Anolis sagrei: one gene and its partner. The protein of the gene in region 1 binds, or shares a complex with, the protein of each later gene. Links are inferred from orthologs where the notes say so. Each region holds a gene or a part of one and is shown on either strand. Other genes may lie near its edges. The genes, in order: BCAS2 and CTNNBL1.

What was found.
Region 2: BCAS2 (region 1) and CTNNBL1 share a complex: the UniProt entries of both Homo sapiens proteins name them as parts of the PRP19-CDC5L splicing complex. The link is inferred for Anolis sagrei from reciprocal best matches to the Homo sapiens genes BCAS2 and CTNNBL1.

The regions. Positions count from the first base shown.
Region 1 is NC_090024.1:203,189,087-203,204,723, reverse strand, and holds BCAS2 (pre-mRNA-splicing factor SPF27), read left to right. Parts: upstream 1-9,098; 5' UTR 9,099-9,149; coding exon 9,150-9,242; intron 9,243-9,333; coding exon 9,334-9,426; intron 9,427-11,952; coding exon 11,953-12,023; intron 12,024-12,579; coding exon 12,580-12,741; intron 12,742-13,561; coding exon 13,562-13,612; intron 13,613-14,068; coding exon 14,069-14,149; intron 14,150-15,150; coding exon 15,151-15,277; 3' UTR 15,278-15,487; downstream 15,488-15,637. Other genes in the region: DENND2C (DENN domain-containing protein 2C), read left to right, coding at 599-704, 1,874-2,113, 3,108-3,194, 3,338-3,369. UniProt on the Homo sapiens protein: Required for pre-mRNA splicing as component of the activated spliceosome. Component of the PRP19-CDC5L complex that forms an integral part of the spliceosome and is required for activating pre-mRNA splicing.
Region 2 is NC_090024.1:245,565,763-245,580,984, reverse strand, and holds the start of CTNNBL1 (beta-catenin-like protein 1), read left to right. Parts: upstream 1-6,978; 5' UTR 6,979-7,115; coding exon 7,116-7,145; intron 7,146-15,222. UniProt on the Homo sapiens protein: Component of the PRP19-CDC5L complex that forms an integral part of the spliceosome and is required for activating pre-mRNA splicing.

The DNA of each region.
Region 1 (15,637 bases):
GGATTCCCACCTCTGCTCTAGTATCTTTGCTATCGTGCTATCATCTATCACAGGCATGGGCAAACTTCTGCCCTCCAGGTGTTTTGGACTTCAACTCCCACAATTCCTATCAACCTACTGCCTGTTAGGAATTGTGGAAGTTGAAGTCCAAAACACCTGTAGGGCAGAAGTTTGCCCATGCCTGATCTATCAGTACGATCAAGCAAAATATCCCCTCTTTCTTCTCATTGTTCTGACCTGCTGTGGAAAATTAGAATAATTGATCATAGGATATGGATCTTGGATCTTCACCATCTCTGAGATATTTTAAACTTGGTTTAGTTTTTGTATTTTCACAACTAGAAGTGAGTTTCTGTTGTAGTTCAGTCTACTTCTGCAATTTTTAAAAATTCTGATAATATCTTTATGGAGCAGTGTGTTGGTTTTAATTAATTTCATTATTTTTCATTTTATATAGTCACAAGGCATACACACTGACATTACATGTTGGAATAATTCTTCTGCATGGTAGCTGCTGAAATGAATCACTGTTCCCACTTTTAAACACAGCAGTGTAATCGTTATTGTTGACTTTTCTTCCTGCTTTTGTATTTTAAAGGTTTCAGATGAGGGTGAAATTCTACCTCACAAACTCCAAGCTGCACTCATACAAATTTTGGAAGAAAGGAATGATATCTTGTCTCAGGAGCGGACGTTTACACAAGGTGACTGCATTAGAGAATTATGCCTGTATAACTTAATTCTGACTTGAAAGTTCCTGTGTAAATTCAAGAATTCTTAAAATACATTTAAGACATTTTAGATGATTGATGTATTAGTACCTCCCACTGAGATTTAGATTGTCTATATAGAAATATATAAAATTTGTGTAATGCTTAAAAAGGAAAGAGAAGATAATAGTGAAATATAGTAAATGTTTTCCTATACAATACTGCCTTACTAACAGATCAAATTAAACTGTTAGATTTATTCAGTAATAACTAAAATTAAATAAAAGATTTAGTGGTGAAGAGCTGGGAGAGAAGACAAGAAGAACATAGGACAATACAAGAAGATAAAAAGACCGGGCTTAAAGTTAGAGGACAATATTTGTCCTCTGTTGTAGAGAATATATAGAATTTTTAATATTTTGAAGAATGTGTGAAATTGTAACTGATATGAAGAATTAGATGTATCAATTTTAACTTTGTACAGTATTCCCCCTCCTTCTGACCCCCTCCCTCTCTCTATGCCACACTAGATAGTTGTAAAGACTTAATTCACTAACAATAACCCCATTACCTCCACCTTCTTTATCCTTCTTTCTTCCTCTGACTTTCCCCATTTGGGGGGGGGGGGGGGGGGGCGCTTGGAAATGTTTATTTAAAACATTAAAAAAAATAATTCTTAAACTAAAGTACGCAAGCCTTCTTAATGGTCTGAAAACCGCTTTGAGTCCCCCTAGGGGTGAGAAAAGCAGTATATAAATACTGTAAATAAATAAATTAAAATTAAAATTGCTTGAAATGTTGCCATTCAAGAATATGGGATGTGATCATCTGCACTTTTGGTGTCTGGAATCAGACCCCCATAGGAATAATGAGGCCCACTGTGGTGTTGCTTTACAAAAGAGGAGTAGTTTCCTGTGCTTCTAGACATCCTTTCTCCTGCACAGCATGCAGTGTTTATGTTGGTTAAGTGTCTGTACTTTATTTGGTGTTTGGATGCAATTATTTTATCAACTATGACTGCTGATGTCATTATTTTGGTAGTCAGATATGCAGGCTGTGACCCAGAGATCAGGTTCTGTAGGTTTTGTAACTAATGGGGAAGGAGTAGAGGTTGTTGTCTTTCTAGAAGAGAGATGTGATTCTTTTCTGTTATTTTCTAATAGGTGATGTGACTCTGGACTCTCTTGTATCTGAGGCCTTTGTTCGCTTCTTCGTGGAGATTGTGGGGCACTACTCCTTGCACATGCATGTCACTGAGAAAGGGGAGCGGGTATTCCAGCGGGAACCCTTCCGGAAATCCCACACCTCTCGCAATGTGCGCCATTTCCTTGAAATTTTCATGGAAACACAAATGTTTGCTGGTTTCATACAGGACAGAGAGCTCCGGAAAAGTGCCGTTAAAGGTGAGATCTACCAAACTCAGCTTTACATTTCTCTCCGTGGGAAATTAAAAATCGTATAAAACCCAAATGCCTTTATGCTTATAGAACGTCCTCTGAAAGGTACTCCAGTACAATTTGTTGGGAACCTTTATACACTCGTGACAACATTGGTAGTTCATTGCCAGCACCACCAAAAACATTTTTAATGAACTTGTCTTGGGAAAAAGTTGAATTACTGAGTAGAATATTCACTTCTTTGAGGTGCCTCAGTTGCCTTATTAGGAGCCCCTAGTAGCACAATGGGTTAAACTCCTGTGCTGACAGGACTGCTGACCAAAAGGTCGGTGGTTCGAATCCGGGGAACAGGGTGAGCTTCCATCTGTCAGCTCCAACTTCTCATGTGGGGATAGGAGAGAAGCCTCCCACAGGATGGTAAAACATCCGGTCGACCCCTGGGCAACGTCCTTGCACACGGCCAATTCACTAACACCAGAAGCAACTTGCAGTTTCTCAAGTTGCTCCAGGCATGAGGAAAAAAGGTGCCTTATTTTCTTTTAACATGTCTTTAGCCGCACAGCAAATGTCTACAAATGTTGTTTCAGAGTTTCATTGTAGATAATCTGTGTAAAGTTTTACATATCTATGCACATTAACATAATTTATAGGTTTTTTTTTTTAATCTCAGCTAAGTAAATACATATCAGAATGATGGAAAGAAGTCCTTTCTTTTCCTTCTTGGTGTGGAAATAACAAACATATGTTACAATAAATTCAGGATTGCACAAACATATGTTACAAAATGTGCAGATATCTGTTATCAGATATATAGATATATATGCACAAGGATGGTATTTGCATCTTGAAGCCTGTGTATAATTGGCACACTTTATGCTGCATAATTCCATGATTCATGCTGTTGTTTTACAGAAGTCCTTTTTGTGTAGTGTATGTGTATGAACATAATTCAGACTAAAGAAATATAGTGTGTTTCTAAGTGATGCTTTTCTTTTTGCAGGGTTGTTTGAGGTCCGTGCTTTTGAATATTTGGAAACCATTCCAGAGTCTGAGCCAAGTGGGATGAATAAAATCCTTCGTAGTCTGGGTAAGTCAGGCTAAGATACATTATTATTGTAAAGATTCTATAAATACACGTATTAAAATGTATTTCTATAATGTGCAAGTGGCAACAAGGCAAAGATTAAACATGTAGTCAACCTTGTAAATCTATATTTTATATATTTTTAGGTAACAAAATGAAGTTTCTGCAAAAGAAGTAAGAAGTTCACTGCAGAATTTCTGCTAAGCATGGATTTCAGTTCCCAATCCGCAATGACAAGGGGTATCTCATTGCCTGTCATTGTGGTGTCAGATCGGATTTCTGGGAAGCAGCTCAAGATGAGCTTCAAGCGACTGGAAAAAAAAGTGCACCAGATCTGGGTGGAATTACTGATCTTTACTTTGCCTGGTCCTGCTGGAGTATTACTGGGAGAAACTGGGCTTCTAGTTGTAAAACTGGTCTGTAATGAGGAACTTGGTTAACTCTGTGAACGGTGTCTTTGTTTATGCTGCTTGGCCTAAAGACTTTCTCAGGTCACCCATTGTTTGAGTGATTTAAGGACTAAGTTGATACCAGTAAAAAAAGAAGAATGTGCCTAGAAATATGACATTTTCCCACAGCTGTCACATAGCCCTATGGATATTCTTTTCACAAGAAAATGTTCCCTTAAACTGGAAAGGCAAACCTGTTGAAGATGTTCTTCCGTCCTCATCTGCAAAAGTAGCCCTGTAAAGGTCACTCTGCCATTGGCCTAGTTTGTGCCATTATCTGTTTCATTACTTCTTCTAGTGATGTGTTGCAAAGCTGTATATTTTGTAGATAGAGAAAACAAAATAACAAAATTCTTTGTTTGTCCTCCTTTTTTATACTATAAAACTTAGTCTGTGTTATCTGTTTCGAATATACGTGTTCTCTGACTTTTTTACAAGATCATCTCTACTACGTTAAGGGACATACCCTCTGTCAGGAGAATGCAATTTGATCCCAACTGGGACCATCAATATGTTTTTTAAAAAATACAGAATGTAAATGAGCTCATTGTTTAATGCAGAAAGTTTGTAAAAAAATGAGTTTCTTATAGTTCCAGTTTGCTGTGAAACCTGAATGGGTTAGAAAAACTTCCTGGGTGCATTGTACCACTGATTTATCATAGCTGAACATCCACTACAATATGTTCTTCATCTAAACCTTTGCCTAATATTACAAGCTTTTGTCGCCACTATTATAGGAAGCAAACCAACACAGCCCCCTTCAGTTGTTCTTGTGATTTGCACACCATATAAAATAACTGTTTTAAAATGGCAAATAACCACTCCATGCATTTACTCAAATACAATGCATGGCATCATTATTCTTGTTGGACTTACTCCGGTTGCTTCTGTGGATTTGACCTTCAGTGGATCGTCATTGTATGTTTACATGTAACAAATGGACTCAGGTGTAACGCACAGTACTGTTGTTCAGCCTTGGAGTGAGTACAAAATTGTTCATAGAAGAGGAATTGTTTTGACGCTTTGATATGCTGATATATTGGATGCCAAAAAGTGCAGCCAAATTGGCCCTCTCAGTTTGGGTGATGAATTGATGTACAGAGAGATTGCCTAGATCTGAAAGGTGCTGCATAGAGATTAGGCATAATTCTTGCAGAACATAAGGAGAAAACATTTTTCACGATATGAAGACATGAGAGATAATTCACCATTATTGGAGTTAATGCATATAGTCTGAACTTCTACCTGTGTTTACAGTATTGCAGCCAGAATGAATTGCCAAAACCTTGGGGGCAGAAGGTGTTTCAGGAGATTTAGGAAATGTTTTCTTTCTTTGTATAGTTGTGCAAAACAAACCACTCACTCTTGTACAGATTTACTCAGCACTAAGGCTGTCTAAATCTAGTGGGATTTATACCCAAGCAAGTGCTTCTATGTAAGAGTTTAGCCTTAAGCTAAGAATAAATACCACAATCTCAATTATCTTCTGAGTAAATGTGCATAGCATCATGCTGTAGCATGTGAGACCTAAACAAAAAATGGAAATAATTTTATGTGTTTCAGAATCATGGACTGGCCTAGCTTGATACTGCAGTTTTGTTTCGAATGTGTTTTTCCGCTGCTCTTGCATAAACAGATTACTAAGAAAGCAAGACTTGGGTCAATGTTTTTAAAGTTTGTATTAGCACTTGAACACTTGCACTTGATCAGAAGAGCGGGAAGAAGCACCTTAGTGGTTCTGTTATTCAGGTCCTCCCTTGGGTCAGTTCAGCCCCTGAAATGTGTAACCTAATCTTTATAATTCCAGCCACGCTGTTCCTCGTGCCCTTATTTTCCCTTCACTTTTGATTTAAAACAAACAAACATGTTCCTTCTGGTCAGTGTTTTGTCTTTTTCCTCTGTATTTCCTTTGTCTTTTATACAGCCTGTTTTCTGCATTCTGGATAAAGCCATATTCTGTGGTGTACAGATGAAACCAAAACTTTAATGTACAGTAACAGAATTGTAATAAACCACGTTCCTTCTGAAACTGGTTCAAATAAAATGTACTGGATTTTTGTGTATGGCATTGTATCTTTTGGTCCTGAAAGCCAGTGCTCTTTACACCTTTGGTCTCCCAAAAAGGCCCATCAGAGCAGGAGTGGGGCCACTCTTCATTACTTCATTGGAAATATAACGTAAATGTTTAAAGGGGTGGTGATCGGTTAATATCTGGAAGCTGTAGTTTGTGCAGAATATTGTTGCCTGCCTCATGAATGATATTGGATGACAGAAGTGGATTGTTTGAAGTGGCTCTTTGTAACTTTATAGATGTGACTCAATGAATGGGCCAGAACAAGCTGCTGGAGGATTGTTTCTGTCCCTATGGGTACAGCTACACTGTAGAATTAATGCAGTTTGGCACTATTTTAACTGCCACAGCAGCTATGGAATTGTGGGAGCTGTAGTTTTACAAAGTCCTTAATCTTCTCTCCCAAGGTCTTTCTGTCAAAAATTGCAACTCTCATGATTCCATAACATTGCACTGTAGCTGTCTAAGTGGTGCGAAACTGAATTAATTCTACAGTGTGGATGCATTCTTAGTACATTGCTGTTCAGCAGCCACTATCTGTCAAACAGTTAATAACCATCATTCTCCAGTTGTCAAAAGTATTTCACAACATACTCCTTATTGCTCAATTATTTTAGAAAAGCACAACCTTTTAGAGATCATGATCTTTTAAAGAAGAGCCAAAAAACCTGTTTCAGTAGAATCTTCTCAAGTGGTATACAACCAAATGTAACTATGCAAGGCAATTGGCTTCAGTTGTTAGGAATATGTCAGTGCATAAGAACAGCAGTTCTTCAGATGAATTTTTCATATGCAAAAACATATCTACTCTCCCATAAAACAACATGTTTTATATTATGTACTCAAATGACAAAATAAGACTTTGGTAAAAATAAATAAATAACATATTTGTTTTACTCATAACCTTCATGTGTTCAGCATACACAGGTACACAATGTATCAGTCAGTTACAGATACGTTTGAGATAGTTTTTGTGTCATCCGGTCAGAACATCTCTCTCATAATAAACAGCAGGCAAGTGTTTGCAAGTCTGCCATCTGAGTAGTCCTAAAGTCTAAAGAAGTCTCAGAGCGGGTCACGTGATCTGCAACCCCTCCCACAACTTATCAGGAAAAACAGAGCAAGGAAAGAAAGCTACATATCAGAACATACATACAATAGATAAGCAACAGGATTATAAACAAATTACTAGAGGAGGCTTGAAGAAGGTTACATTTTCCAACACAATAACATTCCTGTCAGCTGATGGTGATAATTATATTTATTTATATTTCGCTTTCTTCTCTTAACAAGAGTCAAAAGTGGCTCACAACACTAAAAACAGTACAAGTGGCAATACAAAACCTTTAACACATTAACTTAATGATGGAATTAAAGACATTCTAGACCAGGAAAGAGCAAACTTTGGCCCTCCAGGTGTTTTGGACTTTGATTTCCACAATTTCTAACAGTCTCAGGCCCTTTCCCCTCGGGGGAAGAGGAAAGGGCCTGGGACTGTTAGGAATTGTGGGATTCAAAATCCATAACACCTGGAGGACCGAAGTTTTCCCATGCCTGGTCTAGACATTCTTTGACCATTTACAGCAGTGGTTCCCAACCTGTGGTCCATGGACCACCAGTGGTCCACAAGGACTAAAATATGATCCGCAGCTTCACTGTTACTACACTGTTGCAACAAGAATGACCCGGGGGCTCCATGATCATGCCTGTCGTAGAGAGCTGTTGTTTTGGACTTCAGCTCCCAGAATACCATATCAAGTCGCAAGGCAGCAGGGGCTTCTGGGAGTTGAAGTTCAAAACATCAGGAAGACTAAGAGTTTGGGAGGCACTGCTTTGGAGATGCCCAAGGATTCCCACTCCTATGCAAGGCTATGTGTCTCTTTAGAAATTGTGGAGGCATTGGTGTGATATATAGATACTTATTAATGATATCTATATAAATAAAAATGTAATGTTCGTTTGTGGGATTAACAGAACTCAAAAACCACAGGATGAATTGACACCAAATTTGGACACAAGACACCTAACAACCCAATGTATGTCCTTCACTCCAAAAAACTGAGTTTGTCATTTGGGAGTTGTAGTTGCTGGGATTTATAGTTCAGCTACAATCAAAGAGCATTTTGAACTCCACCAATGATGGAATTGAACCAATTTTGGCAGATAAGACTCCCATGACCAACAGAAAACACTAGAAGGGTTTGGTGGGCATTGACCTTAAGTTTGGGAACTGTAGTTCATTTACATCCAGAGAGTACTGTGGACTCAAACAATGATGTATCTGAACCAAACTTAGCACAGATATTCCATATGCCCAAATATTAACACAGATTGAGTTGGGGGGAAATCGACGTTCACATTTGGGAGTTGTAGTTACTGGGATTTATAGTTCATCAAAGAGAATGCTGAACCCCACCAACGACAGAACTGGGGCAACCTTCCCACACAGAACTCCCATACTTAAGTCCAATCAGTCCAAGTCCCTTCACCAGGACAAGAAAACATAATCAAAACCCTCCTGACAAAGAGCCATCCAGCCATAGATAGATAGATAGATAGATAGATAGATAGAAATATGATTCACACACAGAGATATAGTAGCATAGATTTGAAATGGACCCCTAAAGAAGGACAATGATATTGGAGGGGACGTAGTTTTAAAAAGACAATTTTCAGAGATCATCCCAATGCCCATATGTCATGATTTACTGCCATATTGGCCTATTTCTGCAGTAGGCCTATGTTCACAGAAAATGCTGATTGTTTGAGAAATCAGCGCTCCAAAGAAGAAGTTACTATTCAAGGATAACAGTATATCCGGACAAAACCAGCTAGCTAGTTAGAACCCCCAAGTTTCCCAGTCTCTCTGAAGCCATGTTTGCAATAGACTAACAGATAAGATACAGTCATGGTCAGAGAACAATGGACCATAGTTATGTTATAGTTGTGCCATTGTTAGGATCCCACGTGTGCTATAATGTCAACCAAAATCATAAACAAATGAACAACTGCATAACTAACTTAGACCAATGAAATGATTTGTCTTTGGGAACCAATGAAAATGTATATTCCATTTACTATAAATGCTCTGCAGCCCCATTGGGGGTTGCGACAAAACAGACAATCTCCATATCAACACTGACAAAAGATACAGCAAGAAATACTGTTTACCCACAAGCATAAAGAAATTACAAATATTAGAAACCAACACTTTCTAATTACTCTATTTCCCAGATCACAAGACTGGCCACAGCAACGTGTGGCAGGGGACGGCTAGTAAACCAATAAAAATCTTAACTCAGAAAAAAAAAAGAATGGGCTGTCGAGTTTTGCGCATGCGCCGGGTTGCTGCGTTTGCGCAGGCGCGGTGGAGAGCCCGGGCTACAGCGCAGGCGCGGTGAGAGTTGAGTCGCCGGCGTGAGGAGGAGACACAGCAGTATGTCGGGGCCGGGCCTGGTGGCGGGAGAGGTGGCCGTCGACGCGCTGCCCTACTTCGACCAAGGCTACGAGGCCACCGGCGTGCGGGAGGCGGTGAGTGGGGCGCCGGTGGGCGGGCGAGGGGTGAGGCGTAAGGGGCAAGGAGGTGACCCCCTCCTGTCTCTCTCTCTGTCTCTCTCTGCAGGCCGGGGCTCTGGTCGAGGAGGAGACGCGGCGGTACCGGCCCACCAAGAACTACCTCAGTTACCTGCCGGCGCCTGACTACGGCGCTTTTGAGGTGAGGAAGGCCTGACTAGGAGACCGGTTTGCAGCTTCCTCCCTCACGTCAAGGATCAGGAGAACCTCTTAATTGTTGTAGGGCAGGAATAGGCAAACTTGGGCCTTCCCTCCATATGTTTTGGACTTCAACTCCCATCGTTCCTAACAGCCTCAGGCCCCTTCCTTTCCCCCCTCAGCCGCTTAAGCGGCTGAGGGGAAAAAGGAAAGGGCCTGAGGCTGTTAGGAATGGTGGGAGTTGAAGTCCAAAACACCTGGAGGGAAGGCCCAAGTCTGCCCATGCCTGTTTTAGAGAGCTGTTGTTTTGGACTTCAGGTCCCAGAATACCTTATCAAGTCGCAAGGCAGCAGGGGCTTCTGAGAGTTGAAGTTCAAAACATCAAAAAGACTTAATAGTTTGGGAGGCACTGCTTTGGAGATGTCCAAAGATTCCCACTTCTATGCAAGGCTATGTGTCTCTTTAGAAATTGTGGAGGCATTGGTGTGATATTATTACTACGATGTTTATTTATACCCTGCTTTATCTCTTGACAAAGGATACACAAAACAACAAAATATTTATTTATTTACTTACTTACTGTATTTGTATACCGCCTTTCTCAGCCTATCAGCGACTCAAGGAGCTTTCCAACAAAACAGTATACACAGTATCATAGAACATTTTAAAACATTTCAATTACATAAACCACAACAACAATAAAAACAACATCATTAGCGTCTCCTTATTGTCAAGCATTGTCCAGTTCTATCGTCAATGGTCCATTCCTATATCATTTATCCATATCCGTTACTCTGTGTTTGAGAATGCTTGCTCAAGCATGTTTCGACTTGCTTCCGAAACGTGAGGAGGGAGGGAGCAGATCTAATCTCTCTAGGGAGGGCGTTCCATAGCGGGGGGGGGGGGGCTGAGAAGGCCCTGTCTCTCGTCCCCGCCAAACGTATCTGAGACGAAGGCGGGACCGAGAGCAGCGCCTCCCCAGACGATCTCAAGGTCCTTGATGGTTCATAAGGGGAGATACATTCGGACAGGTAAGTTGGCCCAGAACCATTTAGGGCTTTATAGGCCAAGACCAGCACTTTGAATTGAGCCCGGTAGCAAAAAAAGAAAGAAAGAAAGAAAAAAAACATCTCCCCAAAAGGTTCTTTAAGCACCTTGTTGTTGTTACATTTATTTTCACCCCGTTTGCATTTCCTAAACGAACACAATTTAGAAACAAGTGAATGTTTTTATGTTGAATGTTTTTATATTGTATAAATGCTATTTTAGATTGTAAGTCGCTCGGAGCACCTTGGTGGAGAGTGACTAATTAAGAAATAAGGTGAAGTGAAGTATTGTGGCATAAGCCTTTTAGGAACCATCTGCTGAGACAATGAAGGATTTTATTTGTGATGTAATATTTCCTTTCAATGAAATACTTAAATGTCTTATAATAATAAAGTAAGAAAATTCAGAGGTTTAAATGGGCACTTTTAGGGTAATAAACTGCATGACTTGACTAATATAAAAGCCACCAATGTCAAATGATGATAATAAATAATAATAAACTTTATTTATAACCTGCCACCATCTCCCTAAAGGGGGCTCAGGGCGGCTAACATGAGGCCAAGCCCAAAAATAATACAACCTAAATAGACACAAAACAACAGAGAAATACATTACAACAAAATATATAAAACAACAAATAAAATAAATAGTATAAAATAGCATAGTAAAATCAAATACAAAGGGCGGGCCAGATGTATGAGATAAAATGTTAAAAAATTAAAACCCTGGGTGAGATAGAAATAAAAAAGTGTATTTGTGAGAAAGGAGCCCAAGAAGGAGGAGCAGTGGAGTTTTGGCCTCTATAAAGGACAGGGGAAGGTGCTTTATCATGAGGACAACTGTAGGCGGAAACAAACAAATGGGTTGAATGGTCACTCTCTGAAGGCACATTGGAAGAGCCAAGTTTTTAGATGTTTCTTGAAGGCTGCTAGGGTAGGGGCTTGCCTGATCTCCCCAGGTAGCGAGTTCCAGAAGTGTGGGGCCACAGCGGAGAAGGCCCTCTCCCTTGTTCCCACAAGTCGAGCCTGCGATAAAGGAAGAGGCAAAAGAAGGGCCTCTCCAGAAGATCGAAGAGATCGTGCAGGTTTGTGGTAGGAGATGCAGTCACAAAGGTAGGTGGGTCCCAAACCGTCTTCTAATGGAAAGAGTATCCATAATGTATGTATGGAGATGCAAAAAAAAAAACCAAAAAAAACACCTCTTGAAAAACTTCTGGGTACTGTTCCATTATCTGGATAAAGGCCAAAAGCATTTCAGTCTTTGGATCATTTGAAACTATGTCAGGAATCTATAGGAAGGTACACCAAGGGTCTCTCCTACTTTAAGTAGTAGCTATGGTTGATAAAATAGTGTTTTGCCATTGTTCATGTCCATGTATGCATTTAAATTAGAATTGTCAAAAGTTTTTCACAAGCAGTCATAATTACAATCTCCATGCAATATCTTCCTGGTCTCAGCTATATCCTGTAAATTTGATTCATAGACTGAAATAATGCGGAATGAGTTTGAGCGTCTTGCAGCCCGGCAACCCATAGAACTGCTGAGTATGAAGAGGTAAGTGTTAAATTCTGAAGTAAAGTGCACCATCCATGCTAAGGCAACATGTTGGGTATAGAGCAGTGGTTCTCAACCTGGGGTCCCCAGAAATCGCAGCCAGTTTACCAGCTCTTAGGATTTCTGGGAGTTGAAGGCCAAAAACATCTGGGGACCCCAGGTTGAGAACCACTGGTATAGAGACTGAGGCTTGGGTATAGAGACTGAGACTTTGGGAAACAATATTTTAAAAGCGGCATTCCAGTTCTGGCCTCATGATGTCAGTCTACTCTACTGAAATAAGAGGATAGATCTAAAGTTTTGTGCCTTAAGGATTGTTATGTTGAAGACAGTCAGCTTTGAGTGATACTTGTGCAATTCGGAAAGCATATGTCTGTTACTGTAATCTCCAATTTTAAATAATATTTAGTTTGTAAAGCATTGTTCAAAACTGATAATGTGTAAAAAAAATTGTAATAAAAATGAGTCATGATCAGAATTAGTGTCGCAAATCTGTTAAAACAAATACTTGCATTTTTGTTTGAGGGCAGTAGTCTTTCTCTTGCTTTGGCTTCAGGTATGAACTGCCTGCACCCTCTTCTGGGCAGAAGAATGACATTACAGCATGGCAAGAATGTGTTAATAACTCAATGGCTCAGCTGGAACACCAGGCAGTTCGAATTGAGAATTTGGAGTTGATGTCTCAGTATGGCTGCAATGCCTGGAAAGTATATAATGAGTAAGTTTTTCATGGTCTCCAGGAGTTGCTTGAAAAGCTTTGGAAGGCAAATATACCACAGCTGCCTTTGATACATTTACCTTCCAAATTGATAGTCAAAAGGTGTGAAATCCTAAAGTTTTTGGAGAGTTACATGACTCCCATGCCAGATTTATAATTGTTTCCAGTTCTCTGTATTATCGTTGCTGCCTTTTCTACACCCCAATATGATTATGATGAGCTGCCAGTTTGGAAAATAATAAACCACAGTAGGGGGTCATTTTATATATAGTACTCTCATGGCTGTATAATGGAAGGTGTGACACATTTTAGTTATTGAGACTGGAACTTATTTGTTAGAAACTCATATTTCAAGTCAAGAATAAGTATCTTGTTGCTGATTTTTAAAATTAAATTCATTAAATTCACGTTTAAACTGGGAAGATTCAACAAACATTTGTGAGAACACAAATCCAGTTTTGGGGGGGGGGGGTTGAGAAGAAAGGAATTTAAAAAATGCTAGTTATTTTGCATTATAATAATGCTTTTGTGATTACTGTCTTTCACCTATATAAAATGGTTTGTTTATTTGACATTATGTTAAAGGAACACTATTATTACAAGTTAATGGAAAAACTAAATAAAACTTAAATATGACTGCTATGTGTCAAATGTACTACATTTATTTGATTTTTTTTTCATTCTATGTACAAAAAAGTACAATTCAGTTAAAGGTAAACAGGAAAATGAGTTCAAAATCTGATTTTGGTTGACTAGCATCAGTGGCCTACTTTACTTCTTTGTTATTAAATATTTATTTTATGTAATCTTTATTTTGCAGACATTTAGTTCATATGATTGAACAAGCACAGAAAGAGCTACAGAGTTTGAGGTAAGTTCAGCCTTTTCTGTCTGACTTGGAATAATTAGGATTTCAATGTATATCAGTTTTGCTAGATATATATAGAGAGGTGGGGGAAAGAACAGTCTATATATATCTTGAATTCTATATTTTTGTATTCACATTTTGCACCTTTCCAGAAGTTGCTGAATTACAGTTCTCCTATCTGGTTTATTGCGACATGTACTAAACCTGCTAGTAGGTGCAGGTCAGATTCTGGACTTCTACTGGCTAGAATCTCATTAACCCTAGCTTAGGTGTATTACCAAACTTAGACATTCATTTAGATCTAATTAAATCAAATTGTTCTAATTTGCTCATTAGTTTTCAAAATATACTGGTTTTCAGCATGGCTTTGGGTGTGGGGATTGGTCAAGGTGGCAAACTGGAAGGGTCCTGAATGTACACTTTCTAGCAGTGGTTTTCTTAATTGTATTTTTCTTCCAGAAAACACATTCAGGACCTTAACTGGCAGCGGAAGAACATGCAGCTCACAGCAGGTGCTAAACTTCGGGAGATGGAGTCAACGTAAGTAGATAGAACTTAACAGTGCAATTTTTTCTGTCTCTAGAAGCTCCTCAATAAACATATCTGTGTTACTCAGTTGAGAAGCAGCAAGACTAATTCCTTGACTTGTGTACTTTGTTTTGTGATTGAAGACAGTGCCATTGCAGAACTGATCCTTATGTGTGTTATCATAGAATATATCTATCTATCTATCTATAGATATGAGAGAGAGAGAGAGAGAGTTTAGAAAAGCAGTGCTGTTTCTACAGACTGCGAAAAGGAAGTTCAAGGAATATATATTTTTAAATCTATCATAGCTGAAAGTTTGTGAGTTCTTCAGAAAAGATTTCTTTAAAATACCTCATATCATTCTTCCTATAGTAACAAAGCAGAGTTACGTTAGCTTGAGCTAACACATAGAGTGTACCACATTGGAGTGTACCAAGAAGCACATCTTGTGCTCTTACCCCAAACAGTTGCAATTACAGGCATCATATGTGTGTTTAAATATGTCCATGTGGCCTAATGAGAAATACTGGATTATACACTGGTCTGCTGTGCCCTATATAATCTAGTGATAAACCTTTTTTCTGGTTTAAATCATGAGTAATCACGTTTACATTAAAAACAAATTTTGTGAGAAACAGAACGACATCTGCAACAAAGGTCAGGCAGATAAATGGGTCTTTAGCATGAGAATGAAAAACAGTGATAAGGTATCAGTTTTTGCATTCACCTGCTTTGCATGGCTTTCCACTTCTGCTCATTACTGATTTTATAATAATTTTGAAACCATCTCGTCCTGTCTTTTCTCATCTTCCTTTCTGTACATATATATTTATGTTAAACATCTGCCTTGGTTTTGTTCCCCTCTAGTTGTCGCCCTCTTTTCCATCCTATCCATTTCCCTCCCTATTAAGAATCTTTTTAGCATCCCATTTACTACCATCTGATGTTCTTGTTAATGGCATAACTTTAAGGAAACAGTGATTTAAGTATATTTTTCTGTGTTTTCCCTCCAGTTGGGTGTCTCTTGTCAGTAAAAACTATGAGATTGAACGAACTATTGTGCAGCTGGAAAATGAAATTTCTCAAATTAAGCAGCAACATGGGGAAGCCAACAAAGAAAACATCCAACAGGACTTCTGAGACTCGCCTTGGCCTTATGCTGCCAAACATAAAAAACTGTCTAAAGCCTATTCATGCCTTTTGCTGTAGAACAAACTGATTACGAGGATGAGACTTTCTTGTTCAGTTCCCAGATTTATGGCATGAACTTTGGGATGGGAGTTGTGCTTTTTTATAGGGTTTGTCTGTATGTTTTTTGAGATATTTGAAAATAAACACTTTTCAATGATGTTTATGAGTAAATACATCATGCTACCATGGAAAAGAAATATTGTTATAAACTTAAAGTAATTAATGATAAAGATTATATTGCAAGTGTAGCTGACACAGGACAATGACAAAGTGATATTCAAAAGGTGAATACGTTAGTGTTTTATATTG
Region 2 (15,222 bases), about 42 Mb from region 1:
TTAAGCCCATCTTTAAATCTCTTTTCCTGTCCACCAACATTCCGTTTTCTGTTTTTGAGTTCGGAGTAGAGCAACTGCTTTTTTTTTTTTTTTTACTTTCAACGTGTTCTAAAGGTTGTTTTTGAAGTGCAACTCAGGACACTATGGAGTCTTGGAATAATAATTGAAGGACCACTGGCATGACAAGTAATTCGTTAATTAATTATATTTCCACCCGTTTACTCAAGTTGAACACCATCTGGCCAAGAAAAAGCGAAGAACTGAAAATTTTATTTTATTGCATTTCTAACAGAACAAAACAAACAAACAGACAAAATACACAATTTGCGAGTTTGGAAGTTAATTAAATGTCCTTTGCCCAGTCTCTGACCACTTGGAGTGCCTCTGGTGTTACTATAAGAAGGTCCTCCATTGTGCATGTGGTAGGGTTCAGGGTGCATTGCAGCAGGTGGTCAGTGGTTTGCTCTTCTCCACACTCGCATGTCGTGGATTCCACTTTGTGGCCCCATTTCTTGAGGTTGGCTCTGCATCTCGTGGTGCCAGAGCGCAGTCTGTTCAGCGCCTTCCAAGTCGCCCCGGCTTCTGTGTGCCCAGGAGGGAGTCTCTCATTTGGTATCGGCCATTGGTTGAGGTTCTGGGTTTGAGCCTGCCACTTTTGGACTCTCGCTTGCTGGGGTGTTCCAGCGAGTGTCTGTGTAGATCTTAGAAAACTATTTCTAGATTTAAGTTGTTGACGTGCTGGCTGATACCCAAACAGGGGATGAGCTGGAGATGTCTCTGCCTGAAAATATACTTATGCTAATTTCATGATATTGCAAGTCAAAGAAGTGTTAGGTGGCTTCCGAGTCAGTGGGGTGATGAATCCACTCCTGACTTTAGTGGGATCTAAGGTGCATCTACATTGTCGAATTGATGCAGTTTGATCCCACTTTGGCTCAATGATAGGTAACCTGGGATTTGCAATTTGGTGAGGCACCAGCCTTCTTTGGCAGAGAAGGCTACAGATGTTGCAAAACTGTAACTGCAGCATTGAGTTGTGGCAGTTAACGTGGTGCTACACTGCATTAAATATTTAGTGTAGATCTGTGTTTCTCAACCTTCCCAATGCCGCGACCCGTTAATACAGTTCCTCATGTTGTGGTGACCCCCCAACCATAACATCATTTTCATTGTGACTCCATAACTGTAATTTTGCTACAGTTATGAATTGTAATATCTGAGATGAAGGATGTTGTTTCATTCACTGGACCAAATTTGGCACAAATGCCCGATACACCCAAATTTGAATACTGGTGGGTTTGGGTGGTTGGATGGGGAATTGATTCTGTCATTTGGGAGTTGTAGTTGCTGAGATTCATAGTTCACCTACAATCAAAGAGCATTTTGAACTCCACCAACGATGGAATTGAACCAACCTTGGCACACAGAACTCCCATGACCAACAGAAAATACTGGAAGGGTTTGGTGGGCATTGACCTTGAGTTTTGGAGTTGTAGTTCAACTACATCCAGCGAGCACTGTGGACTCAAACAATGATAGACCAAACTTGGCACAAATTCTCAATATGCCCAAATGAAAACACTGGTGGAGTTTGGGGGAAACAGACCTTGACATTTGGGAGTTGTAGTTGCTAGGATTTATCGTTCACCTACCATCAAAGAGCATTCTAAACCCTACCAGTGATTGAATTGGGCCAAACCTCCCACACAGAACCCCCATGACCAACAGAAAATACTGTTTTCTGATGGTCTTTGGGGACCCCTCTGACACCCCCTCGCGACCCCTCCAGGGGTCCTGACCCTCAAATTGAGAAACACTGGTGTAGATACACCCGACGGTCTCCCTTTCTCTTGTCTCGGATGTTCATTCTCTGCTTGCATTAAGCTAGGACAGCTGTCGCCGAGTCCATACGTCTTCTTTATTAACACTGGTTGCAAGCCTTCCAATTTCCTTGTAATGTTCCCAATAAACGCGGCGGTTTCCGCAGAGCAACTGTACGCCGGCGACTGTCGCAGCTGGTCCTTTATCTGTCGGCCCCATAAAAAGGATGCCAGGCGATGCCCGTCGCCCCATAACATCCGTCTCTCCTTTACAGCCGAGATTTGTTGCGCTAATTTCATCCCGGCTGCTTCGTCCCCGGATTCCCCGCAAGGACCAAGGTGCAAGCGGGGGCCGCCTGTCAACAAATTATATATGTTTTTAATTCTGGGCCCATCTTTCGAGCCAAACCCCTATGGAGACAATGCTGCAAACGAGGCTGCAAATGGCACCGGAGTCCTCCGTGTCTCTCTCTCTCTTGTATTAAAGCTGTTTTTCAGGGTTTGCAAGCAACTAGCTTTCCTTCTGTAGCTATTTGCGTTCGCATCCGAGTTATGTTTATCGCTACTTCATATATGGCTGAAAATGAAATGCATTTATTACGCACTCTAAACATAGCTGATGTGACTTTCCTCTGCTCTTGAACGCATCCGCCGAAAAGGGACACGGAGCCTCGGAGTCAGAATTTCAGTTTTCTCAAGAAAAAGTTTCACATTGTGCATTTACTCTGTAGAATGAAGAATTATAGAACTTTCATTGCTCAATGCTTTGCAATTATGAGAGCTGTGCTTTGGCAGAGAAGGCTTGTAAAACTATAACTTCCACCATTCCATAGCATTGAGCCAGGGCAGTTAAGGCTGTGCCAGACTGCATTCGCTCCTATACTCCTTGTTCCGGTACGGCTCTACCGGGAGATCCAACTTTATTTGCTTTGCATTAAATGTTTGTTTGCAGTCCTAGGTTTCAGGGACTCTGCAGATAGGTGGCTTCCTTCGGTTACAGTCATAGGGCAAGTCACCTGTCCATCATCGTTAAGTTTTGGTCCCACCCCTTGCTCAGGGCAATTGGGAAGGGAAAGGGGCCATTTTAGTTAGTCTCAGCAAGAAAAGCTAATGTACAGGACGTGTACAAGCTTCCCCTGTACAAAAGCTTCAACCCTTAAGAGCTTCCCGGGGAGAGCAGTCTTAAGAGTCTCCAAAGATTTCCAGGGAAACAGCCCTAAAGACCAAAGAACTCCAGCTGGAGAACATCTAAGCCTTTACTGGTAGGTCCACTCAGCGTTCGAGAAGCAGTTCGACCTGGTAGCAGAGCCCACATCAGTAAGGGTTAGATTACAGTCAGCCTGGGAGAAGTTAAAAAGGGGATTTTCCATTTAAAGTAAAGAAGAAGTTATTGAAGACAGTTGCCTTTCCTTTGTGGGCAAGTTTAGGAAGTCACCAGTTGCATAAAAGCCTGGAATCATTTGTTTATCTTTCTGAAGACAAGAGAACTTTCTGTTTGATTGTTCATTAATAAAAGACTTTGTTATACTTCACAAGCCATCTAAAGATCACTGGTGTTGGAAAACCTCTGAGAACTTCTCTTTGGGGCCCCCTGGCTTCCTGCTGGGCAAAGGTTGCACGTCCTGTTCTAAAGGAAATTCTTTACAGGCCTAGCGTGCAACAGAACACTCCTCATGATTACAGCTCATGGGAGTTGTAATGCAGGAACATCTGGAAGGCTGTGGTTTGCTCTGTTTAGTCAAGAGAGTGGGGTTTGGATTGAGATACAAGGCTAGCGGATAGGATGCCCAACTTTAAAACGATGAGACAAATGCAAGATACTCCACTTAGGCAGAAAAAACGAAATGCAAAGATACAGAATGGGGGACGCAAGGCTCGAGAGCAGTACGTGTGGAAAAGATATTGGCGCCCTCGTGGACAGGAAGTTAAACATGAGCCAGGAATGTGATGCGGTGGGAAAAAAGCCAGTGGGATTTTGGCCTGCATTAATAGGAGCATAGTGTCTAGATCTAGGGAAGTCATGCTCCCCATGCTCTATTCTGCCTTGGTTAGACCACTTTACCTGGAATATTGTGTCCAATTCTGGGCACCACACATTAGAAAACGTGGACCATTTCCGCTACCTTGGCAGCCATCTCTCCACCAAAGTCAACATCGACGCCGAAATACAACACCGCCTGAGCTCTGCAAGTGCAGCATTTTCCAGAATGAAGCAGAGAGTGTTTGAGGACCGGGACATCCGTAGGGAGACCAAGGTGCTTGTTTATAAAGCTATTGTCCTCCCAACCCTGCTATATGCCTGTGAGACGTGGACTGTCTACAGACGTCACATGCAGAACGTTTCCATCAGCGCTGCCTCCGGAAAATCCTGCAAATCTCCTGGGAAGACAAGCGGACAAACGTCAGTGTGCTGGAAGAAGCAAAGACCACCAGCATTGAAGCGATAGTCCTCCAACATAAACTCCGCTGGGCTGGCCACATTGTCCGGATGCCTGACCACCGTCTCCCAAAGCAGTTGCTCTACTCCGAACTTAAGAACGGAAAACGGAATATTGGTGGACAGGAAAAGAGATTTAAAGATGGGCTCAAAGCCAACCTTAAAAACTCTGGCATAGACACTGAGAACTGGGAAGCCCTGGCCCTTGAGCGCTCCAGCTGGAGGACAGCTGTGACCAGCAGTGCTGCAGAATTTGAGGAGGCACGAGTGGAGGGTGAAAGAGAGAAACGTGCCAGGAGGAAGGCACGTCAAGCCAACCCCGACCGAGACCGCCTTCCACCTGGAAACCAATGCCCTCACTGCGGAAGAAGATGCAGAGCAAGAATAGGGCTCCACAGCCACATACGGACCCACAAGGAAATCCATAATGGAAGACCATCTTACTTGTCCAACGAGGGATCGCCTAAGTAAGTAAGTAAGTACCACAATTCAAGAGAGATATTGACAAGCTGGAATGTGTCCAGAGGAGGGCGACTCAAATGATCAAGGGTCTGGAGAACAAGCCCTATGAGGAGCGGCTTAAGGAGCTGGGCATGTTTAGACTGAAGAAGAGAAGACTGAGAGGAGACATGATAGTCATGTATAAATATGTGAGAGGAAGCCACAGGGAGGAAGGAGCAAGCTTGTTTTCTGCTTCCTTGGAGACTAGGACACAATGGAACAATGGTTTCCCACTACAAGAGAGGAGATTCCATTTGAACATGAGGAAGAACTTCCTGACTGTGAGAGCCGTTCAGCAGTGGAACTCTCTGCCCCGGAGTGTGGTGAAGGCTCCTTCTTTGGAAGCTTTTAAACAGAGGCTGGATGACCATCTGTCAGGGGTGCTTTGAATGCAATATTCCTGCTTCTTGGCAGAATGGGGTTGGACTGGATGGCCCAGGAGGTCTCTTCCAACTCTTTGATTCTATGATTCTATGGAGGAGCCACAGGATGTTTAGAAGTTTGTTAGGGCACCTGATTTCTTGGACCATGGTCCAGAGAGTGCTGCGGTTCACTGTTTCGAATGCCTTTGCAAGGCCAATGAATGCCATGTACAGATTGTATTTCCTTTACAATTAATGTGTTACACTGTATTTGAAAGGTTATTGTCCTTAACAGGCAAGATCTCTATGCCAAGAATGGTTTGTAGGGCTTTCAAATGGGGGGGGGGGGGTGGAGATCTAGAAAACGGTCCTTTTCCCGACCCTGACCCTCTCCCTGCCTTATCCACGCATTGCACTTCGCCTATGGATCTAACTCATGCCAATTAGCAAAGCCACGTGCAGCCATTATTTAAGGGGGAAGGATTTCATGGCCGGAATCGAAGGATTTCATGGATGGAATCACTAGGTTCTTATGGGTCTTTTCGGGCTATAGGGCCATGGTCTAGAGGCATTCTCTCCTGACGTTTCGCCTGCATCTATGGCAAGCATCCTCAGAGGGAGTGAGGTCTGTGGGAACTAGGAAAAAGGGTTTATATATCTGTGGAATGACCAGGGTGGGACAAAGGACTCTTCTCTGCTGGAGCTAGGTGTGAATGTTGCAAGTCTGACTTGGCCACGGTAGTCCACGCTCTGGTTACATCCCGTTTAGACTACTGCAATGCTCTCTACGTGGGGTTGCCTTTGAAGATGGCCCGGAAGCTCCAACTGGTCCAATGTGTGGCAGCCATGATTCTAACAGGAGCGGGGTGCAGGGAGCATACAACCCCCCTGCTGTACTAGTTCCACTGGCTGCCGATCTGCTACCGGGCTCAATTCAAGGTGCTGGCTTTGGCCTATAAAGCCCTAAACGGTTCCGGCCCAAGATACCTATCCGACCGCCTCTCGGCGTATGAGCCCACGAGGATTTTGAGATCGTCCGGGGAGGCCCTGCTCTCGATCCCGCCTGCGTCACAGGCACGGCTGGCGGGGACAAGAGATAGGGCCTTCTCGGTGGTGGCTCCTCGGCTGTGGAACACCCTTCCCGTGGACATCAGGCTAGCTCCCTCCCTGATGATATTCCACAGGAAGCTAAAGACCTGGCTGTTTAAGAAGGCATTTGAATGAAGTGCAATGACTGGTAATTTGACCATAGGAATGGAACAACGGAAACGATATCGGATTGTGGGATTGACGATGAGACGACTCGGAATGGCTTTGTAGTAATGTTGATATTTTGATGAGATGTTTTCTGATAATGTGGAATTGTGGGTTATTTTACACTATGTTTTGTATTTTGCACCTGTTTTTCTATGTTGTACACCGCAATGAGTCGCCCTTGGGCTGAGAATTGCGGTATATAAGCGCAGTAAATAGATAAATAAGTAAATAACTGACCACCTTCATTAGCCTTTGAAGGCCTGGCTGAGCCTGGGGGAATCTTTTGTTGAGAGGTGTTAAGATGTGCCTGGTTGTTTCCTCTCTGCTGTTTTGCTGTTGTAATTTTAGATACACAAACTTAAATACAGGGTTAGTCAAAATGAATAGGCCAATAAGAATATTAATTGTACCCGAATTGGCCTATTCATTTTGACTAACCCTGTACACAAATTCCCGTATTTGCTTTTCCTGCGCGCGCTGCTCCTAGGCGAATTACGGCCCCCTGCTGGAATCTGGTCGAACCTTCACCCCGCGCGCGCCCTTCGCTTGACGGCAGCGCGGGCCAATCAAGGCCTTCCCTTCGCTTTACGGCGCCGCTTTGCGACGTTTCGCGACACCCGGAAGCACAAGGAGTCTCTCAGCTTACACCACCGGGCTTGTTTCTTTCTCTCTCTCCTTCTCTCTCTGTTTCGGTGTCTTTTCTCTTCAGGGAAGGAAAAGAAAGGAAAGAGGGAAGGCATGGACGTCGGGGAGCTGCTCAGCTACCAGGTGGGACCCCCATATTGGTATCGTAGGGTGGGATTATGTGGGGTTTCAGCATGAATGAGCTCTCTCTGTGTCTACAGCCAGGGCTTTGAGTGCGATTGTCCTCCTTCTTGGCAGAATGAGGATGGACTGGATGGCCCATGAGGTCTCTGCCAACTCTTGGGTTCTGTGATTCTATGAAAGAAAGGAGATTTCATCTGAACATTATTTATTTATTTATTCGCTGCATAAATAAATAAATAATGTTTATTTATGCACCCAAATACCTGGGAGTCACTTTGGACCGTGCTCTTACCTACAAGAAGCACTGCCTGAACATCAAGCAAAAAGTGGGTGCTAGAAACAATATCATACGAAAGCTGACTGGCACAACCTGGGGATCACAACCAGACACAGTGAAGACATCTGCCCTTGCGCTGTGCTACTCTGCTGCTGAGTATGCATGCCCAGTGTGGAACACATCTCACCACACTAAAACAGTGGACGTGGCTCTTAATGAGACATGCCGCGTTATCACGGGGTGTCTGCGCCCTACACCACTGGAGAAATTACACTGCTTAGCCGGTATTACACCACCTGACATCTGCCGGGAAGTAGCAGCCAATAGTGAAAGGACCAAGGCAGAGACATCTCCAGCTCATCCCCTGTTTGGGTATCAGCCAGCACGCCAACGACTTAGATCTAGACATAGTTTTCTAAGATCTACAGAGACACTCGCTGGAACACCCCAGCAAGCGAGAGTCCAAAAATGGCAGGCTCAAACCCAGCACCTCAACCAATGGCTGATACCAAATGAGAGACTCCCTCCTGGGCACACAGAAGACTGGGCGACTTGGAAGGCATTGAACAGACTGCGCTCTGGCACCACGAGATGCAGAGCCAACCTTCAGAAATGGGGCTACAAAGTAGAATCCTCGACATGCGAGTGTGGAGAAGAACAAACCACTGACCACCTGCTGCAATGCAACCTGAGCCCTGCCACATGCACAATGGAGGACCTTCTTGCAGCAACACCGGAAGCACTCCAAGTGGCCAGATACTGGTCAAAGGACATTTAACCAGCTACCAAACTCACAAGTTGTGTATTTTTCTGTTTGTTTGCTTTGTTCTGTTAGACTGGTTGTTCTGACACGACAAATAAAATTTGCTGCATTTGTTAACCGCCGTTCTCAGCCCTAGGGCGACTCACGGCGGTGTACAACATATAAAAGACAATTTACAATAAAGCAATAACGAAAAATCAACATATCACTAATACACAATAATATAATTACACTAAAATAATCCGCTCCGTCTCATCATAGAATCATAACCAATCTCGTAATCCATATTCCGTTCCAGTTGTCATTACCAATTAATGTAGCACTCAGTTAAATGCCTTCTCAAATAGCCATGTCTTCAGGCTCTTACGGAAAGACATAAGGGAGGGCGCCTGTCTGATGTCAACAGGGAGGGTGTTCCACAGCCGGGGGGCCACCACCGAGAAGGCCCTCTCTCTCGTCCCCGCCAAACGTGCCTGTGAAGCAGGCGGGATCGAGAGAAGGGCCTCCCCAGACGATCTCAAGGCCCTCGTGGGCTCATAGGCCGAGATGCGGTCCGAAAGGTATTTTGGGCCAGAACCGTTTAGGGCTTTGTAGGATAACACCAGCACCTTAAATTGGGCCCGGTAGCAGATCGGCAGCCAGTGGAGCTGGAACAACAAGGGCGTAGTATGCTCCCTGCGTCCCGCTCCTGTTAGTAACATGGCTGCCGCGTGCTGGACTAGCTGAAGCTTCCGGGCCTTCTTCAAGGGCAGCCCCACGTAGAGAGCGTTGCAGTAGTCAAGGTGGGATGTGACCAGAGCGTGTACCACCGTGGCCAAGTCAGACTTCCCGAGGTATGGGCGCAGCTGGCGCACATGAGGAAGAACTGACTGTGAGAGCCGTTCAGCAGTGGAACTCTCTGCCCCGGAGTGTGGTGGAGGCTCCTCCTTTGGAAGCTTTGAAACAGAGGCTTGTCTTGCGTTAGCATGAGTAGCATGCAGATTGACTCTAGCCCAGTTAACTGTGTGTGTGATGAAATTACTCATAAAAGAAAAACACACGAGACTTCGGCTTAAAGTAGAAAAGAAAATATTGTAGTATTGGCAGCATACAAAAACAAAGTAGCAGGATTCCTGTTTCCACAAAAGTAACATGAAACAATATCTTCTGAGAGATATCACTACTCAGCTGGGATAAGCAGGAATCCTTGTCCTCTTCTCATGGCTGTGTCTTCGCAGGACATCTGCAGCATAGTCCCCGGCTTACACAAAGCAGAACGGCACAGAGGCATAGATGCACAATAGCATAAAGGCACAATGGCAAAGAACTAAACACACAGTAGCTATCTTTATACACATGAAAATAACACTCTCAATTAACTCTTCAATCAACTGAAACAGCTGTAGCACAAACAGCCTTGAACCTTAAAACAACTTAAAGTTATAGCACAAACAACATTGATCCTTACAACAACTTAGATAAAGTACGTTGCAATCTCTTAGTAGCAACAAGGCTGGGTGGCCATCTGTCAGGGGGGATTTGAATGCAATATCCCTGCTTCTTGGCAGAATGGGGTTGGACTGGAGGGCCCATGAGGTCTAGGATTCTATGATCTGTTGTTGTTGTTCATTATTTTTAAAATTTTAACTACTACATTTGGCCCAGCCATTGGTTTTTAAATGTTATTGTGTTATTGTCGATGTTTACTGCCTATTTTTTTTGTTTATGAGCTTTATTTTATTGTTTTGTATTACTGCTGTTGTTGTTTTTTGGTGATGTATTGTGAGCTCAGCCTCATGTAAGCCGCACAGAGTCCCTTGGGGAGTTGTTGTTGTTGTTCATTCGTTCAGTCGTCTCCGACTCTTCGTGACCTCATGAACCAGCCCACACCAGAGCTCCTTGCCGTCTGTCACCACCCCCAGCTCCTTCAGGGTCAGTCCAGTGACTTCAAGGATGCCATCCATCCACCTTGCCCTTGGTCGGCCCCTCTTCCTTTTGCCTTCCACTTTCCCCAGCATCATTGTCTTCTCTAGGCTTTGCTGTCTCCTCATGATGTGGCCAAAGGACTTCCACTTTGTCTCTACTCTCCTTCCCTCCAGTGAGCAGTCGGGCTTTATCTATCTATCTATCTATCTATCTATCTATCTATCTATCTATCTATCTATATATATATAACTAAATGGACCAGTACAACCCTTGGGGAGACTTATTATTTATTTCGTGTACTTCTACCCCGCCCTTCTCAACCCCCGAGGGGGGACTCAGAGCGGCTTACAAAAAGGCACAATTCGATTCCTACACAATAATACAAATAAACGTGTAAAACAGCAATTAAAACAATTAAGACAGTTAAAACAATCAATATATATCACAGTCAATAAACCAATCCCAAGCTCAGCGTTCGCCAACTCAGAGTCCATATTTCGTTCTACATTATCTATTCCTATCAGTCGTCGTAGTCCTTTATTCATCTGCCAGATTGTCCAAACGCATGGTCCCAAATCCATGTTTTTAATTTCCTTCTAAAGGAAAGGAGGGATGTCGCTGATCTAATTTCCCCAGGGAGATGGTAGCGGGGTACAAATAAAGGTCTTTTAAAAATTATTATTATTCATTCAGTTGTTTCCAACTCTTCGTGACCTCATGGACCAGCCAAGGCCAGAGCTCCCTGTCAGCCATCACCACCCCCAGCTCCTTCAATGCCAAGCCAGTCCCTTCAAGGATGCCATCCACCCACCTTGCCCTTGGCCAGCCCCTTTTCCTTTTCCTTTCCATTCTTCTCAGCATCATTGTCTTCTCTAAGCTTTCCTTTCTTCTCATGATGTGGCCAAAGTACTTCCATCTTTGCCTCTACTAATCTTCCCTCCAATGAGCATAGAATCATAGAATAATAGAGTTGGAAAAGACCTCATGGGCCACCCAGTCCAAACCCATTCTGCCAAGAAGCAGGAAAATTGCATTCAAAGCACCCCTGACAGATGGCCATCAAGCTTCTGCTTAAAAGCTTCCAAAGAAGGAGCCTCCACCACACTCCGGGGCAGATGGTTCCACTGCTGAATGGCTCTCATAGTCAGGAAGTTCTTCCTCATGTTCAGATGGAATCTCTTTTCTTGTAGTTTGAAGCCATTGTTCCATTGCGTCCTAGTCTCCAGGGAAGCAGAAAGGAAGCTTGCTCCTCCTCCCTGTGGCTTCCTCTCACATATTTATACATGGCTCTCATCATGTCTCCTCTCAGCCTTCTCTTCTTCAGGCTAAACATGCCAAGGATGATGGTCCTCCAAGTGTAGTATTCTGGCGGTGGGTCCGTAGGTGACTGTGGAGCCAGATTCTTGATCTGCACCTTCTCCCACTGTCCATGTCTCACAGGCGTATAGCAGGATTAGGAGGACAATAGTGTTATAGACAAGCACCTTGGTATCCCTACGGATGTCCCGGTCCTCAAACACTCTCTGCTTCATTCGGGAAAATGCTGCACTCGCAGAGCTCTGGCGGGGTTGCATTTCAGTGTCAATGTTGAATTTGGTGGAGAGGTGGCTGCCAAGGTAGCGGAAATGGTCAACATTTTCTAATGTGACACCATTAAGCTGTTTTTCTGGCATTGGAGAGGGATTGGCCGGTGACTGCTGGAAGAGCACTTTGGTTTTCTTGATGTTAAATGACAGGCCGAGCTTCTCGTATGCTTCCGCAAAGGTGTTTAGAGTGGCTTGTAGATCTTCTTCTGAATGCGCACAGACAACATTGTCATCAGCATACTGGAGTTCTATAACAGATGTTGTTGTAACCTTGGTTTGGCTTTCAGCCTGCTGAGGTTAAACAGCTTGCCATCTGTCCGATAGATGATTTCCACTCCGCTGGGAAGCTTCCCATCAACAAGGTGCAATATCATAACAATGAAAATGGAAAATAAAGTTGGGGCAATAACACATCCCTGTTTGACATCTGATTCCACCTTAAATGGGTCACTTTGGGAGCCATTGCTGTTCAAGGCTGTTGTCATCATGGAGGAGCCAGAGGCTGTTCAGAAATTTGAATTGAATTGGAATTGCAGAAAAAGATATTAGGAAAACATTCCTGACAGGTAGAGTGGCAGTGGATTAGGTTGCTGCTCTGGAGTCCAGTGGAGTCTCTTTCTCTCTCTGTATGTGTGTTAAGCATCTGCTGTAAGTGTTCTAGTTGTATTTGCCTGTATGGTAGAATGGGTTTGGACTGGGTGGCCTTTGGGGTTTCTTCTAACTCTAAGGTCCTGTAATGATGATGGTGTCTATTCAAATCTCCAATGTCAGGAGTAGCAAAATATGTAGGTTAGGTTTTGCACCTTTTGCTCACTTGTACTCCAGTGAAATGTGATTGGTAGGCTGGGAAATGAGTGGTTTAGTGCACTACTTCTTAAACTGTAGGTCCCAACCCCAAATAGGGTCTTCTTAGCTCAGTGCTGGGGATACAAAAAATTGGTAACAGTAAAAGGCTCCTGAGCACCATCCATTTGCAGAAATCTGTTAGCAATAACCTGCAGTGATTACAGCGGACTATGCAGAAATCACTTCATCTGTACTCCACAAACTGGGAAATCAGCCTATTTAGTAGCCTTTGCAAATGTTGATTTATTACACTACTAGCTGTACCCATCACGCGTTGCTGTGACTAACCTTCCCTCCCTTTTTCTGGATCCATCGCAGTCTCTTTTCAAGCCTGGTCACGGTACCGAGAAGGCTTTGGTCGCCTTAGTGGATGACCTCAGCAGAGAACTTGACAGTGAGAGTGTGTCCTTGTTGGTTCTCCTGGACATCTTAGCGGCTTTTGATACCATCAATCATGGTATCCTTCTGGGGTGGCTCTCCGAAATGGGTCTTGGAGGTACTGCATTGCAGTGGCTCCATTCCTTTCTGGAGGGCCATACCCAGTTGGTGAAACTGGGGGATACCTGCTTGGACCCCTGGCCTTTGACCTTTGGAGTCTCGCAAGGTTTTATTCTTTCCCCTATGCTTTTCAATATCTACATGAAACCACTGGGTGAGGTCAACCGGAATTTTGGAGTTTGTTGCCATCTTTACGCAGATGACACACAACTCTATTACTCCTTTCCACCAAAATCCAAGGAAGCCCCTCAGGTCCTGGACCTCTGCCTGGCTGCTGTGATGGGCTGGATGAGGGCTAACAAGCTGAAATTGAATCCTGACAAGACAGAGGTCCTCCAGGTCAGTCGCTTGGCCGAACGGGGTATAGGGTGGCAACCTGTGTTTGACAGGATTACACTCCCCCTTAAGACATAGGTCTGCAGTTTGGGGGTCCTCTTGGACTCAGTGCTGATGCTCAGGTGTTGGCGGTGGCTGGGAGGGCCTTGGCACAGTTAAGGCTTGTGCGTCAGCTGCGACCGTACCTCGAGAAGTCTGAATTGACCATGGTGGTCCATGCCTTAGTTACCTCAAGATTGTACTACTGTAATGCACTCTACGTAGGGCTGCCCTTGAAGACGGTTCGGAAACTACAACTGGTGCAAAGGTCGGCAGCCAGATTGTTAACTGGACCAAGTTACAAGGAGCGGTCAACCCTCCTGTTTAAACAGCTCCACTGGCTACTGATAAGTTTCCAGTCCCAATTCAAGGTGTAGGTTATTACCTATAAAGCTCTAAACGGTTCAGGACCTGCCTATCTGCGCGACCGCCTCCTCCCCTATGAGCCCATGCAAACCTTAAGATCTTCTGGGGATGCTCTTCTCTCACTCCCGCCCTCGTCTCAAGCGCGGCTGGTGGGGACGAGAGAAAGGGCCTTTTTCGGTGGTGGCCCCTCATATCTGGAACTCCCTCCCCAGGGAGATTAGACTGGCACCCTCCCTAGCCACATTCCACAAGGAATTAAAGATGTGGATGTTTCATCATGCTTTCAGCTGACAACTCTTAGGACATACGACTTGTATCGTGACCTGAATCATGATTCAACCTGAATTCTATATTACATTACTATTCAGATTTTTAAGTTAACCTGAATTGACTCTGATCCTGTTGAATTGCTCTGTTTTCATGCTATTTCCTATGCTATTTTTATGTTTCCATCCACCCTATTTCCATCAACCAATTATCTTTTGATCAGCTCGTATATTGGCCTTCTCCCCCCTTTCAAAATTAGTCTCTTATTGCTTGATGCTTGTCTATTATTGTTATGCTGTTTTATGCTTTTTAAATTGTAATTTGTTATTGCTCTGCTTTTAATTGAATGTTGCCTGCAATCCAGGAATAGGAAATTGGAAATATGCAGGGATTAGGATGCTCTCAAAGAAATCCAAGGAGAAGAAAGCTTGCAGCTTGGAAGCAGTGCATTTGGATCATCCTCCTCTCCTAAAAGGCCTGGTCTAGGGGATGCTGGGAGCTGTAGTCCAAAAGAGAGTGTGGATATGCTATTGTGTGTTTTGTTTGCTAGGGAGAGTCGTTTTTGCGCATGCGCTGTATCATCTTTTTGCTTTTTTGGCTTTTTAAGTCTCTTCTGCTGTGTTTTTTAGTGTTTTTATGAGTGATGGTCACTTGTTGGCCTGATAGGTGTATTGTGTCCAAATTTCATATCAATTAATCCAGTGGTTTTTGAGTTATGTTAATCCCACAAACGAACATTACATTTTTATTTATATAGATATTAGCTGTCCCCTGTCACGCGTTGCTGTGGCCCAGTCTGTGTAAATGTGTTTTGAGTGTGTATATATTTGTGTGTATGTGTATATATGTGTGTTTGCGTATATATGTGTGGTTTTAAGCATGCATTGTAATGTTTTTTTTTTGCTTTTTCAGTCTCTTTTGCTGTGTTTTTAGTGTTTTATGAGTGATGGTCACTTGTTGGCCTGAGAGATGTATTGTGTCCAAATTTTGTGTCAATTCATCCAGTGGTTTTTGAGTTATGTTAATCCCACAAACAAACATTACATTTTTATTTATATAGACTAGCCGTCCCCTGCCACGTGTTGCTGTGGCCCAGTCTGGTGATCTGGAAAATAAAGTAATTAGAAAGTGTTGGTTTTTAATATATGTAATTTCTTTATTGTTGTGGGTAAACAGTATTTCTTGCTGTTTCTT